Saccharomyces cerevisiae S288C: one gene and its partners. The protein of the gene in region 1 binds, or shares a complex with, the protein of each later gene. Each region holds a gene or a part of one and is shown in the gene's direction. Other genes may lie near its edges.

Evidence for each region. Proteins that work in one complex are often made in the same cells at the same time.
Region 2: SAS3 (region 1) and PDP3 share a complex: the UniProt entries of both Saccharomyces cerevisiae proteins name them as parts of the nuA3 histone acetyltransferase (HAT) complex.
Region 3: SAS3 (region 1) and EAF6 share a complex: the UniProt entries of both Saccharomyces cerevisiae proteins name them as parts of the nuA3 histone acetyltransferase (HAT) complex.

Annotation. Positions count from the first base shown.
Region 1 is NC_001134.8:116,160-125,712, reverse strand, and holds SAS3 (histone acetyltransferase), read left to right. Parts: upstream 1-3,838; coding exon 3,839-6,334; downstream 6,335-9,553. Other genes in the region: alpha-soluble NSF attachment protein SEC17, read right to left, coding at 1-442, 559-588; PIN4 (Pin4p), read left to right, coding at 954-2,960; TOD6 (Tod6p), read right to left, coding at 6,547-8,124; YBL055C (3'-5'-exodeoxyribonuclease), read left to right, coding at 8,884-9,553. UniProt on the Saccharomyces cerevisiae protein: Catalytic component of the NuA3 histone acetyltransferase complex, that acetylates H3K14. The NuA3 HAT complex has 2 functionally distinct forms.
Region 2 is NC_001144.5:1,051,772-1,055,257, forward strand, and holds PDP3 (Pdp3p), read left to right. Parts: upstream 1-1,857; coding exon 1,858-2,772; downstream 2,773-3,486. Other genes in the region: FMP27 (Fmp27p), read left to right, coding at 1-113; YLR456W (pyridoxal 5'-phosphate synthase), read left to right, coding at 3,299-3,486. UniProt on the Saccharomyces cerevisiae protein: Histone-binding component of the NuA3b histone acetyltransferase complex. Targets the NuA3b HAT complex via histone H3K36me3 to the coding regions of actively transcribed genes to coordinate transcription elongation.
Region 3 is NC_001142.9:581,200-584,133, reverse strand, and holds EAF6 (Eaf6p), read left to right. Parts: upstream 1-1,878; coding exon 1,879-2,220; downstream 2,221-2,934. Other genes in the region: YJR084W (uncharacterized protein), read right to left, coding at 1-401; ACF4 (Acf4p), read left to right, coding at 597-1,526; AIM24 (Aim24p), read left to right, coding at 2,518-2,934; YJR079W (uncharacterized protein), read right to left, coding at 2,895-2,934. UniProt on the Saccharomyces cerevisiae protein: Component of the NuA4 histone acetyltransferase complex which is involved in transcriptional activation of selected genes principally by acetylation of nucleosomal histone H4 and H2A. The NuA4 complex is also involved in DNA repair.

The DNA of each region.
Region 1 (9,553 bases):
TCGATAATGCTACCGACTGGTCTTGGGCATACCACTCACCAGCGAGCTCATAGCAATCTATAGCTTTTGCATAGTCATGCAAATCATTTTCTAGAATTTCTCCAAGCTCAAACTTGAAATTAGCACCTCTCCGGAACTGCCCCCTATGAGTAAAAATTTGAATAGCATTTTCTAATGAATCCACGGCGTTCACAGAGTTTCCACCGCTTTTAAAGCATTTATAAGCCTCTACGTAGGTATTTCCTGCTTCGTCTTCATTACCAGCCTTTTTCTGATAGTCAGCAGCTTTCAAAAACGAGTCTCCTGCCAAGTTTAACTCTTTTCTTAGACGGTAAATGGTGGCTGCTTGGACACAAAGATCAGCAGCCTCCTCAAACTTGTATGAATCAGAACCGCTAAACAATTTCATGAAACCCGATGAAGGAACACCCTTCTTCTCAGCCTTAACACAACGGGAAATATCAATTCCCGTATTTCAATGTTAGTAATTTGCCTTCGTAAATTACGGAATCACATAGCTTTCATTTTGTTCCTTTGATATATTTCCCTACTACATACTCTTTTCAATAACTCTACAGGGTCTGACATTTTTAACTTTCAGGTTAATGATGGTGTTCTTACTATATTCTCGAGTCGTACAGAAGTTAGTTCAGATAAACTGCTTCGGTGCTGCCCACTTCTTATCATTACTTCAACTTTACCTTCCCTATACCTGTGTGTCCTTATTAATTCAAGTTAATCCGAGGTAATAGATTAGGGTAACCTTCAATGATGTCACGAAACACGGATGCTGCAACTTTGCGATTTTTTCCTGGAAAAGAATAACAATTAAAGGCAGCCTTTCAGCTGAGATTACCAGCAGGTCTTTGGAGATTAGCGCAAGAAGAAGTGTGATATAGTACTCATAGAGGCAGGCTACAGACTAGGGAAAGCGTGTTCAACAACAATAAGAAATGGAGACCAGTTCTTTTGAGAATGCTCCTCCTGCAGCCATCAATGATGCTCAGGATAATAATATAAATACGGAGACTAATGACCAGGAAACAAATCAGCAATCTATCGAAACTAGAGATGCAATTGACAAAGAAAACGGTGTGCAAACGGAAACTGGTGAGAACTCTGCAAAAAATGCCGAACAAAACGTTTCTTCTACAAATTTGAATAATGCCCCCACCAATGGTGCTTTGGACGATGATGTTATCCCAAATGCTATTGTTATTAAAAACATTCCGTTTGCTATTAAAAAAGAGCAATTGTTAGACATTATTGAAGAAATGGATCTTCCCCTTCCTTATGCCTTCAATTACCACTTTGATAACGGTATTTTCAGAGGACTAGCCTTTGCGAATTTCACCACTCCTGAAGAAACTACTCAAGTGATAACTTCTTTGAATGGAAAGGAAATCAGCGGGAGGAAATTGAAAGTGGAATATAAAAAAATGCTTCCCCAAGCTGAAAGAGAAAGAATCGAGAGGGAGAAGAGAGAGAAAAGAGGACAATTAGAAGAACAACACAGATCGTCATCTAATCTTTCTTTGGATTCTTTATCTAAAATGAGTGGAAGCGGAAACAATAATACTTCTAACAATCAATTATTCTCGACTCTAATGAACGGCATTAATGCTAATAGCATGATGAACAGTCCAATGAATAATACCATTAACAATAACAGTTCTAATAACAACAATAGTGGTAACATCATTCTGAACCAACCTTCACTTTCTGCCCAACATACTTCTTCATCGTTGTACCAAACAAACGTTAATAATCAAGCCCAGATGTCCACTGAGAGATTTTATGCGCCTTTACCATCAACTTCCACTTTGCCTCTCCCACCCCAACAACTGGACTTCAATGACCCTGACACTTTGGAAATTTATTCCCAATTATTGTTATTTAAGGATAGAGAAAAGTATTATTACGAGTTGGCTTATCCCATGGGTATATCCGCTTCCCACAAGAGAATTATCAATGTTTTGTGCTCGTACTTAGGGCTAGTAGAAGTATATGATCCAAGATTTATTATTATCAGAAGAAAGATTCTGGATCATGCTAATTTACAATCTCATTTGCAACAACAAGGTCAAATGACATCTGCTCATCCTTTGCAGCCAAACTCCACTGGCGGCTCCATGAATAGGTCACAATCTTATACAAGTTTGTTACAGGCCCATGCAGCAGCTGCAGCGAATAGTATTAGCAATCAGGCCGTTAACAATTCTTCCAACAGCAATACTATTAACAGTAATAACGGTAACGGTAACAATGTCATCATTAATAACAATAGCGCCAGCTCAACACCAAAAATTTCTTCACAGGGACAATTCTCCATGCAACCAACACTAACCTCACCTAAAATGAACATACACCATAGTTCTCAATACAATTCCGCAGACCAACCGCAACAACCTCAACCACAAACACAGCAAAATGTTCAGTCAGCTGCGCAACAACAACAATCTTTTTTAAGACAACAAGCTACTTTAACACCATCCTCAAGAATTCCATCCGGTTATTCTGCCAACCATTATCAAATCAATTCCGTTAATCCCTTACTGAGAAATTCTCAAATTTCACCTCCAAATTCACAAATCCCAATCAACAGCCAAACCCTATCCCAAGCGCAACCACCAGCACAGTCCCAAACTCAACAACGGGTACCAGTGGCATACCAAAATGCTTCATTGTCTTCCCAGCAGTTGTACAACCTTAACGGCCCATCTTCAGCAAACTCACAGTCCCAACTGCTTCCACAGCACACAAATGGCTCAGTACATTCTAATTTCTCATATCAGTCTTATCACGATGAGTCCATGTTGTCCGCACACAATTTGAATAGTGCCGACTTGATCTATAAATCTTTGAGTCACTCTGGACTAGATGATGGCTTGGAACAGGGCTTGAATCGTTCTTTAAGCGGACTGGATTTACAAAACCAAAACAAGAAGAATCTATGGTAATATATACTTCCATTATTCTATGATTATAGAGTTTGTTTGGTATTTGTATATCGCACGATACAAGTAATGAGGGGTGCTTACACAAGATAAAAGATAAAAAAATATATATATATAATAAAAACCATCAAAAACACCATTGAAAAAAAATATAAAAAAAAAAAAAAATAACCGAATATGAATATGAAATTAATGATCATGATGAAGTTAATTTTTACTGAGAAACGTCACCTAATGTCGATGAAACGATGATAATGAATGAATGATGAGGCTACTTTAAGTAACGCAATGTAATCAAGCCAAAATTATCCCTCTTTTTTTTTTTTCCCTCTTTTGAGATTTTATTTTTAACCTACTACTTACTTTTTTTTTTTGAACGTTCTTTTCCCACATACTTTTATATATGGTATTTATATGTACGATGTTTAATCACAGAGATGTTTCTACCTTACTCGATATTGTTTTTGCATTAATTGATATCTTGCTCACTGCATCATTGGCGGTATTTGTAGTATATAGAAAGTCGGGTAACAATAATTTATTGACATTTCTTTGTTTACAATGATCAGAGAAGAGCAGAAAGTTTCATAGTCAAACGTTCAGGCCAATTGAACAAGAAATTATTCGTTTTTTTAGTCGTTGAGTGTTCAACTGACATGCTATTTTGGTGGTTCTTGATTAATTGGGGGCTTCATTGTTTGAAATAAAGAGTCGGGAAAATAGCACAGAAACAAAGCATATTAAAAGAGGCAAAAGAAGAAAGAACGAATATAAAAGGTAAAAAAGGAAAAGCATTGCTATTCTTTTCTCATAGGTGTTATTCATACCGCCCTCTCTCTTCTTCCTTCTTCATTAATTAGTCTCCGTATAATTTGCAGATAATGTCATTAACAGCAAACGACGAATCGCCAAAACCCAAAAAAAATGCATTATTGAAAAACTTAGAGATCGATGATCTGATACATTCTCAATTTGTCAGAAGCGATACAAATGGACATAGAACTACAAGACGACTATTCAACTCCGATGCCAGTATATCACATCGAATAAGAGGAAGTGTTCGGTCTGATAAAGGCCTTAATAAAATAAAAAAAGGGTTGATTTCCCAGCAGTCCAAACTTGCGTCAGAAAATTCTTCTCAAAATATCGTTAATAGGGACAATAAGATGGGAGCAGTAAGTTTCCCCATTATTGAACCTAATATTGAAGTCAGCGAGGAGTTGAAGGTTAGAATTAAGTATGATTCTATCAAATTTTTCAATTTTGAAAGACTAATATCTAAATCTTCAGTCATAGCACCTTTAGTTAACAAAAATATAACATCATCCGGTCCTCTAATCGGGTTTCAAAGAAGAGTTAACAGGTTAAAGCAAACATGGGATCTAGCAACCGAAAACATGGAGTACCCATATTCTTCTGATAATACGCCATTCAGGGATAACGATTCTTGGCAATGGTACGTACCATACGGCGGAACAATAAAAAAAATGAAAGATTTCAGTACAAAAAGAACTTTACCCACCTGGGAAGATAAAATAAAGTTTCTTACATTTTTAGAAAACTCTAAGTCTGCAACGTACATTAATGGTAACGTATCACTTTGCAATCATAATGAAACCGATCAAGAAAACGAAGATAGGAAAAAAAGGAAAGGGAAAGTACCAAGAATCAAAAATAAAGTGTGGTTTTCCCAGATAGAATACATTGTTCTTCGAAATTATGAAATTAAACCTTGGTATACATCTCCTTTTCCGGAACACATCAACCAAAATAAAATGGTTTTTATATGTGAGTTCTGCCTAAAATATATGACTTCTCGATATACTTTTTATAGACACCAACTAAAGTGTCTAACTTTTAAGCCCCCCGGAAATGAAATTTATCGCGACGGTAAGCTGTCTGTTTGGGAAATTGATGGGCGGGAGAATGTCTTGTATTGTCAAAATCTTTGCCTGTTGGCAAAATGTTTTATCAATTCTAAGACTTTGTATTACGATGTTGAACCGTTTATATTCTATATTCTAACGGAGAGAGAGGATACAGAGAACCATCCCTATCAAAACGCAGCCAAATTCCATTTCGTAGGCTATTTCTCCAAGGAAAAATTCAACTCCAATGACTATAACCTAAGTTGTATTTTAACTCTACCCATATACCAGAGGAAAGGATATGGTCAGTTTTTGATGGAATTTTCATATTTATTATCCAGAAAGGAGTCAAAATTTGGAACTCCTGAAAAACCATTGTCGGATTTAGGATTATTGACTTACAGAACGTTTTGGAAGATAAAATGTGCTGAAGTGCTATTAAAATTAAGAGACAGTGCTAGACGTCGATCAAATAATAAAAATGAAGATACTTTTCAGCAGGTTAGCCTAAACGATATCGCTAAACTAACAGGAATGATACCAACAGACGTTGTGTTTGGATTGGAACAACTTCAAGTTTTGTATCGCCATAAAACACGCTCATTATCCAGTTTGGATGATTTCAACTATATTATTAAAATCGATTCTTGGAACAGGATTGAAAATATTTACAAAACTTGGAGCTCAAAAAACTATCCTCGCGTCAAATATGACAAACTATTGTGGGAACCTATTATATTAGGGCCGTCATTTGGTATAAATGGGATGATGAACTTAGAACCCACCGCATTAGCGGACGAAGCTCTTACAAATGAAACTATGGCTCCGGTAATTTCGAATAACACACATATAGAAAACTATAACAACAGTAGAGCACATAATAAACGCAGAAGAAGAAGAAGAAGAAGTAGTGAGCACAAAACATCCAAGCTTCATGTAAACAATATCATAGAACCGGAAGTACCTGCTACTGATTTTTTTGAAGACACTGTTTCCTCCTTAACAGAGTATATGTGTGATTATAAGAACACAAATAATGATAGATTAATCTATCAAGCGGAAAAAAGAGTGCTGGAAAGCATCCATGATCGCAAAGGGATACCAAGATCAAAATTTAGTACAGAAACTCATTGGGAGCTCTGCTTCACTATTAAAAACTCCGAAACACCACTTGGAAATCATGCAGCTAGGAGAAACGATACTGGAATATCAAGTTTAGAGCAGGATGAAGTAGAAAACGATGTAGATACTGAATTATATGTAGGTGAAAACGCCAAAGAAGATGAAGACGAAGACGAAGACTTTACCCTTGATGATGACATTGAGGATGAGCAAATATCAGAAGAAAATGATGAGGAGGAAGACACATATGAAGAAGACAGTGATGATGATGAGGATGGGAAGAGAAAAGGACAAGAGCAGGATGAAAACGATATAGAAAGCCACATAAGGAAGGAGAGAGTCAGAAAAAGAAGAAAAATAACTCTAATAGAGGATGACGAAGAATAAGCGGCGATGGGTATATATTGGATATAAGCATATACATGTAACATTATTAATAGCAATAAGAACCCTTGTAGTCAATAGTATTACAGAATTCTCCTACGAATAAATTTTATGTGTATATATAAAGATATATATGTGTGTGTGTACATGTGTGGGTGCGATTAATTTGTACTCATTAAACGAATAGTCAAAACAAACTAAATTCGTCTCTTAGCTTAAAATATATTTTTAAAGATAGAATTTATACCTGGAAGTTCATCTTGCTCATTGCGTATGTCATTTGCGCTGGTCATAGAAGAAAGCTCACTAGACTTTGGATTATCATGTTTAGCCTCTAACATACCGTAATTTTGCGATTGCTGCGATGGCGTGTTAATGCCATTCTCCTTGTGCAGTGGGTCAATGTCATCCTCCTCCTCCTCGTCTTTGCATCCTTCATTTGTATGAAAACCACTTACACGTCCTTTTCTCTTTAAATAATCCATTCTTTGTTGGATTTCCAACTCGGATCTATTATTAGGCAGAACAATAGAAATTTCTAGCGGCGACAAATGGTTTTGTTTGTCCTTCGTATTGTTAAGTAGCACTTCATCATCTTCTCTAGACCACGGGTGTTTATTAGCGAATTTTTGCATATCTAAGAAAGTCCTCGTGTGCGTGATTTTGTCATTTGCGTGGTCTGTCTTGCAGTTGGGAGACGCTATGGGGTTAAGATAGTATTGGTGCTGTGGATGATAATGAACGGATTGCGATGTAGATAACCTTCTGGGTGACATATACGGGCTAACTACCAAGGAAGCTCTTCTAGAAATAGGCTCCGTAGGAGCGTGAGAGTTGAAGGATGATCTTCTTGAATGCATCATGTTAAAAGATGATCTTCTAGAAGAAATTACGGAATGCGAGTTTTTCCTAGTCTTCGTCGTTGAATGAGGGATTTGAGTTGAAGGAATAAAGGAGTTCCTTCTAGACCTGATAATAATTTTAGGCACAAGACCAATATTCTCATAATCATTGGAATTAACAGCTTTATTTGTCTTTGCTGAAGTAGTGTTATAAAGGCTTAGATTTGTCTGCTGAGCAGTCTTTACATTAGGCGTGTTGGTTGTTATAGAATGAGAGAAGGACCTTGGCTTAACAAACAGTTTCCTTGGTTTCGTGTGTTGTGGCTCATGGTCCGAAAATGTTGATGTAGATCTTTGAGTTATCAGTTTTCTGTCCATGTATTTAGGCTTAACTAATGGCTTGAAATCCGGTGGAGAATCCTCGATAGCACTAGAACCTGCAGTAATATCTTCATCCTCAACAGCTTCCTCTTTTACGGCTTCTTCCGCAGACGGAGTACCCGCGGATGGGGTAGCATCACCAGTCGCATACACGCCGAATAGCTTATTGATGTCAATAACTGCGGTCTTGTTAGACTTTAAGTTGCCTGATTTCAGTCTCCTCCATCTGAATTGACAAGCGTTAGGAGTTCTATTTGGGAAATGATGTGCAATCTCCTTCCAGCCCAAGTTCTTGATCTCTTTCAGGTGGCGGAGCTTGATATCATCACTAGGGTCCCAAGAAGAGGGGTTGTTTTTTTTGAGTGATTCCGCCTCCTCCTTGTTCGTGCTGTTCTCTTTAGTGCTAGTGCTACTGATAGGCAGGTGGCTCTTCGCATTTGTGTGAGAAAGTGAGTGGGAATGGACAAGATTATTTGGGTGAGGGTGTTTGCTTAGTATTGAGAAACCATGTGAGTTGGCACTAACATGTCCTGATGAAACAGAAACGCTACTGAGTTTCGGCAACGTCATCGCGAGGGAACTTCAATAAGAACAGTGATATATTCTTTTCTCTACCCACTGTCGTGTATATGCCTTCTTGAGTGAGTAGTTTTAATGACTCAAGCAGTGGAGATTTGCCAGATTTGTTTACCTGAAAACAAAATGATATGAAAAGCCTTTATTAATATCAACGTACAAAAACTATACACGACTTCTGTGTAAGGAAGTAGAAAAGTGTCTCATCGCATTGGTCTCGCATCTCATCGCATCGCATCTCATCTCAATTTTCAAATTTCAGCTCTCAGCAGAGAAAAAATTTTTTTTTCACCGGACCAAAAATAGCCTCTCTCACCCACAGATAACGTCGCACACTAACAAGATGATGAGACAAGATAGGCCAAACCGCTCAAAAAGGAACTCGAAGAAGAACGGAAGTGGAGTTTAACTTTAGAACCTAACTGCTACTAAGTGTTGATACGCTAGGCAAGACACCTGCGAAATCCCGCTGCGAAATACCTGCAAAGAGGTTGCTAAACAGCAGCCAGAAGACTTGCGCTAGTAACGTTCCTGAAAAGCTTTGCACTGCAGGCATTTCTGAGCCTTTTCCGGCCTTCTAGAAGGCTTAGCCCCTACTAACGCCGGGTTACTTAGAACAGCACTCTTCTAAGAACAATCTTTCCAGCATGCTGGAAGGGCCCAGTGGTGATGTCCTGGTAGCAATGGACAACTAAAGGTGGACACTTTCGCTGCCAAGGCATTTTTTTGAGGCGCCAGTACTGTTATAGTTATATGTGGGGCATCTTATTGAAATCCTCGAACAAAAGTTGTTCTAGGCTCTGGAAACCAATTTTGACACAATATTATAGCATGACATCAACTGCCACGGATTCTCCGCTGAAATACTATGATATTGGATTGAATCTGACAGATCCTATGTTTCACGGTATTTACAATGGTAAGCAGTACCATCCAGCAGATTATGTAAAATTATTAGAGCGTGCTGCTCAGAGGCACGTGAAAAATGCCCTTGTTACAGGATCATCCATAGCGGAGTCTCAAAGTGCCATTGAGTTGGTAAGCAGCGTCAAAGATCTTAGCCCGTTAAAGCTGTATCACACAATAGGTGTTCACCCATGTTGCGTTAACGAGTTTGCGGATGCTAGTCAAGGGGACAAGGCTAGCGCTTCTATTGATAACCCTTCCATGGATGAAGCATATAATGAGTCTCTATATGCTAAAGTTATTAGTAATCCATCTTTTGCACAGGGTAAACTGAAAGAGCTTTATGATTTGATGAATCAGCAAGCAAAACCTCATGATACAAGTTTCAGGTCAATTGGTGAGATCGGGTTGGACTACGACAGATTTCACTATAGTTCTAAAGAGATGCAAAAGGTTTTTTTTGAAGAGCAACTGAAAATAAGTTGTTTGAACGATAAACTCAGCAGCTATCCATTGT
Region 2 (3,486 bases), on another chromosome or scaffold:
TTGGTAATAAATTGAAAAGAAATTCTAAGGAGAATAAAATTGCTGACGACACTTCACCACTGAAGCAACTCACAACTTATAATTCCTACACGGAGCCTGAAGAACTTCGTTAAAAACATTCAAAAAAAATTTATAGTTTTTCATATCTCTTAATGTAGCATCATACATATCAATATGTTACCATGTTTCAGACCTTTATTGCTGTACTACATTGAAATACCTAGGATTCGAAGAACAAAAAACATCATATAGGTCTTCCATTAGTAATGCCCATTATTTACTTAAAGTAAAAAAAATAATGGTCTCTAGCGGGATCGAACCGCTGATCCCCGCGTTATTAGCACGGTGCCTTAACCAACTGGGCCAAGAGACCATGAAAAGGACGTCAAAACAAGGTCACACGAAAACCATAACCTGTAGTATAAATATAAGACATCTCAAGCACTTGTTATTAATTAGGGAAATAGCTAACAGCATTTGAACGATAACTAAGGCAAACAATCCTCAGTAGTAATCGTTGGAAAAAAGATCTGAGAACTAGGTGAATTTTGTGATAATTGTTAAAATTCCATAGTTGATAAAGGCAATAACATTATGTATGCAGGATATGCTGAAGTTCTTCTCGAGGACATATGAATCCTCAAAGTGGAATCGGTAGTCCTGCACTATAATATTACAATTATTTTTCCTTTCGTTTTATATGCTTACTTATCCTATTACATTATCAATCTTTGCATTTCAGCTTCCATTAAGTCAGATGACTGTTTCTCAATCTTTATGTCGTCTTTTTATACCGCATATGATAATACACTTGTAACATGAACACTGGTCAATAGATGATGATAGGGTTTCGTTCCAACACCATCACGTTATCAATTCTTTCGTGTCAACTCCTCATTTACGTTATACTCTTTACATTGTGTATGGCAGTATACTAGTAGTGAGAATACTAGTCAATAGGTTATAATTGATTTTTATTTTAACAAGTAACATCTTCGGAAAAGCGACTACTATTCAACTAATAATCATCAATTTTTACTTCAAGAAAGCATAATAACGTCTGCATTTATGTGTGAGCAGGACTGAGCGATTCTGAGGGCACTTGTATTCACCAATTTGCAATAGCTGATCTTTACAATCTGCATGTTCCGATAACAAAAATAACTTGTAGGATAAATCCTCAGAGTTACATCGGTGTGTCAGGGAATGAACAGATAAAAGAAATAACGTCGCACTGTAAAGTGAGTAGCAGCAAAATTAAACTATTCGGACATTTTAAAACCCTATCAGTCGCCTTGGATGATAACCTTATTTCAACCACCTATCAATGAAAATGGCTTAAACTTCCCCAATTAAAAAACTCTGCAATAGCGTGTTGATTTCTTCCAGATTGATAGTTTGGTACAATACGGAAGAAACAAGGTCTCTCTCCATTTACATTACGGTAAGCTGTTCTTAATTGAACTTTGAAACATCCAATGGCGGGTAATAATTATAGTATTTTTCTTTTCTATTTTATTTATTTTTTTTTTTTTTTTTGATTTTCTAGAATAATCAATCAATGGTAAATAAACAAAAGTTGCTTCTGTTGTAAAAAATACATCAAAGGGGCTAAAATATCAATATACGTTTCGTTAAGTTCTGCAGAGAGATTTGGACATATCTATTTTTCTCTCAGATATTTGTTATTGCATATTGTGAGTTGACTACTGGTAAGCTTATATTGGAAGTTTCACAAGCATTCTTTTAGGACCTACAGTCGTTGCTCCTCCTGGCTTTTTTTCCCTTTTATTTTTTTCTGTTTTTACTTCCATTTCTTTTGTGATATTAGCTATCCCTGGTTTGGTCCGCAAGTTTATGACAAAAGATATTAGAACAGGCGATTTAGTGTTATGCAAAGTTGGCTCGTTTCCACCTTGGCCAGCTGTAGTATTTCCACAGCGTTTGCTGCGAAACGATGTATATAGAAAGAGAAAATCCAATTGTGTTGCTGTTTGTTTTTTCAACGATCCAACTTATTATTGGGAACAACCCAGTAGATTAAAGGAGCTAGATCAAGACAGCATTCACAATTTCATATTAGAACATAGTAAAAATGCAAACCAAAGGGAATTGGTCAATGCTTATAAGGAAGCAAAAAATTTTGATGATTTCAACGTATTTTTACAAGAAAAGTTTGAAGAAGAAAACAGGTTAAGTGATCTAAAAGCGTTTGAGAAAAGTGAAGGTTCTAAAATCGTTGCCGGAGAAGATCCCTTTGTAGGTCGAACAAAAGTAGTGAATAAAAGAAAAAAAAATTCAATATCCATCAAAGAAGATCCGGAAGATAACCAGAAATCAAATGAAGAAGAAAGCAAACCGAACATCAAACCGTCCAAAAAAAAGAGACCCACAGCTAATTCGGGAGGAAAATCAAACAGTGGCAATAAAAAGAAAGTTAAATTAGACTATTCCAGAAGAGTAGAAATTTCACAGTTATTTCGCCGCAGGATTCAAAGAAATCTAATCCAGAGAGAAACACCTCCTACTGAGCATGAGATCAAGGAAACTCATGAACTATTAAATAGAATATATGAGAATTCTGACACCAAACGGCCCTTTTTTGATTTGAAGGCCCTACGCGAAAGCAAATTACACAAGCTACTGAAAGCAATTGTTAATGATCCTGACTTAGGCGAATTTCACCCACTTTGTAAAGAAATTTTACTGTCCTGGGCAGACCTAATCACAGAACTGAAGAAAGAAAAGTTGCAAGCGCTACCTACGCCTTGATAATAATACTTATTGAATCAATTCAATATATCAACGTTTCAATATCCAATATTGTTTCATTTCATTTCATTTCAAATAAACAGTGTTTTACCGTTTGTTTTGTTTCCCTTCTTTTTTTCATCAAATGGTAATATTAAATTGATTTAATTATCCATCCATAAAAATTGTATTAATAAGTCATACACGTAATGTCACAACAAAATATCAGGCGTACTCTTGTGACGTACCAAAGCGCTTAGAAACGATAAAGGCCCGGGACAGAAATTTAAACGTCACAAGTGGGTGCAGCCCAGTTAACACTAATGTTAACGCACTTCTAGATACCTCATATATATAAATATTATCTAGAATTTCAAATTTGATATTCCTTTTCTATACTGAATAAACGATAAATACGAAGTTCAGAGTGCGAAAATTAGGGTTGCAGGCGTCTGATCTGAAAAACGTATAATTGATAGTGAAAATTATGCAACATTCTGCAAAGGAAAGTAAACCTTAAAAAAACAAATCTCTCAAGCCTTTAAAGATGAAACTCAATGAACAAATACCAAAAGACCTGTTACGCCTGATTAAAAGTTCCAAGTATGTTCATGTGGCGACATGCTCGTCAAATTGTATACCATCTGTTTCGTTGATGCATTACATATTTGTTTCATCCGCGGAAACTTTCCATAAACATGAGTATAGTATAGAAATAGATTGTAATGACTATAT
Region 3 (2,934 bases), on another chromosome or scaffold:
CCACATTCCTCAATTGAGTCTTTATTAAGTTCACTAGATTCGTTTGCCAGACGAATTAATTGTTTAGCCATTACCCACAGCGGATAAATTATCCAATTGGTTTCTCTTTCTACTATTCTGTTGAAAAGTTTCAACTGTTCATTGGCTAATCGCAGCAATTCCTCAGTAGCATTCTTGATCCGCCCTTGCTTCTTCAATGACCTCCGCTTGGAATACTTCAATTTTAGATCTACTCCTAATTGGTAAAACCTTTGTAATCGTACACTCTCTTCATCTGTCGCCGTAGGCCTTTGTAGTATATATTTAGTCTTTTTAGGTGTTTTAACGTCATATCTGATGAAGTCTAACAGTTTGTCGTCATAGCGTTTCTCTTCAAAATAACATCCTATATCAACATCCATGATTGGTTGTAGAAACCGTTGCTGGACCTTTCTGTTCCTGTGTAACTCTCTCCAGACATTCCTTTACATACAATTTTCTTTTTTTTTCCTGACCTTTATCGTTAGCTTTTTCAAAATCAAAAACAATACGATTGAGGAATACTACTAACTAGCCAAAAGCAATACAAAATACATCCATACATACGCCCTAAAGTAATGTCAGAAGACCAGCGTGTAATTAGTCAACCAATTGAATTACATAAGCTGTCGATTGTCGATAAACACTCCCAAGGACAGCAGCAACAGCCGCATCAAAAACAACATGAAGTGCAGCCTGAATCAAAATCACCAAGGGTTACGACACCTTTAAAGCCCAAAAGACTTGCTATACCTATATCAAGTCCGCAAAGATCTACGACAAATCAGTCACCCGTGAGCGACCACGCAAGTCCGATTTCAACAGACCAAGATTTAATATATAAATTAGCTGCAAAACACAGAGAAATCAATGAACTTAGTTTCAAATTAGAGGTCGCCCAAAAAGAATTAAAACAATTAGAGTTACAGTTCAAAGATACACTGCCCCGAAATGGACAACAGAAATTAGGTAACCAGAACCCAAGTGAATACCTCTCTACTTTTACCAAAAGAATTCAACAGACATTTGTGGACGTAAATAATTCACCAAATATGCTCAAGGGAAAAAAGAGTATAAACGATTTTTTTAGTAAGCCCAATAATAATGTTAATAGCAACATAAATAACACTCTACCCAATCGTAAACCGAACCCTCCGCCTAATCGGTCACAACGTATGCAAAATATTGCTCCAAGCCGTAGTTCAGAATCAACTCCAACATCGGGTCCTCCCTTGCTACCCCCAAGGAATACTATGAAGAATGCTAATACCACGGCAACTGCTGGGGAGAACACACCATTCTTACAAAGAATACTTAACAAATTCAATCAAATGAATATGGAAGAGGACGAATTCGATGACCTTTTGGAAAAGAGGAAAAGTAAGAAAGATCACTATTACATAAAAGAAAATTTGGGTTACGAATACGATGAAGTACGCAGTGAAGACGAGGATGATGAAGAGTTTGAACCCATGGGTGACATACCCGTTCATTTATTTAAAAGGTAGCTAATGTCCACTATTGATGCTTTCTCAAGAGACCTTCATATGTAATATTCTCATTAAATACAAAGATTAAACGGCTTCATTTATGCATTCCTTTATTTAGGTAAATTTTTTTTGCCCGATTTTTGGTACTACTGCTTTCCTTTTTTAAATGTAATTGATATTTTTAAAAAAACCTCACATGTAGGCGATTAACCCAGGTCCTTCAACAACTTGCCGACTATGCCATTAAATTAATGATTAAAGGTGTGTAAAGCCACAACGAAAGCAAAGAATATACGTAAGATAAACATCTTTAGAGAACAGCCATTTTCCATCATCTTTCCGTTTGTTACCAACCTACGCCTAGAAGAAAATGACTGATGAGCTGAAAAGTTATGAAGCATTGAAAGCGGAACTAAAAAAGTCCCTCCAAGATAGAAGAGAGCAAGAAGATACCTTTGACAACTTACAACAAGAGATATATGATAAAGAGACCGAGTATTTCTCACACAATAGTAATAACAACCATTCAGGTCATGGGGGAGCCCATGGGTCAAAATCACACTATTCTGGTAACATCATAAAAGGGTTTGATACCTTCTCCAAGTCACACCACAGCCATGCAGATTCTGCATTCAATAACAATGATCGTATTTTTTCATTAAGTAGTGCTACGTACGTGAAGCAGCAGCATGGCCAATCACAAAACGACTAATGCGATAGCACACGTTGGTATTTACGTTGCTTGACCGCTCTAAAACATCTGATTGAAAAGAAAAAGAGAGAAGAAGGAAATGATTTCGACAGGTGACCTTTAAGTTCGATATACCTACATATTGGCTATTTCTTTTATTTTTCATTTTCTATAAAATATCTATATAAGTATTTTTATAACGATTTACTAACAAGGGCAAAATTTCAAAGGTCCCGTGCTCCCAGTCATTTTATTGGCTGGCGAATAAACGGATACAGATAAACAAAACAGAAGCACAGAAAAGGATATCCACCCATCATGATAAGCCCAAGGGTGAATACTCGAGTTTGGCAGAGATCAATTTCTCTTTTGAGCCCACAAGCGGCCAAGACGGAGAGTAATGTCGTAACTAAAGAAAGGACATATATCGAGAACTTAAGCAAGGATATTGCGACTTCCCGTTTCAGGCTAGTAGACGAAAATGGTAAAATTGCATCTATCACTGTTCAACCAGATATTCCAATTTGTATCAAAAAGGATTGCCTAGTTTCCATTCACAATTTGAACCATTTATCCCTTTCCTATAAATGGCTGAATTTTTGGTCAAACCTGATTAAATTTCGTTCATTCAAATCTTCATTGTTTCATAGAATTATTGGATCCTCCGTTTTAGAAATTCTGGCTGCCCCAAACTTTCAAACATCGAGAAGACCTTTCGATTCTTCAAGAAGCTTG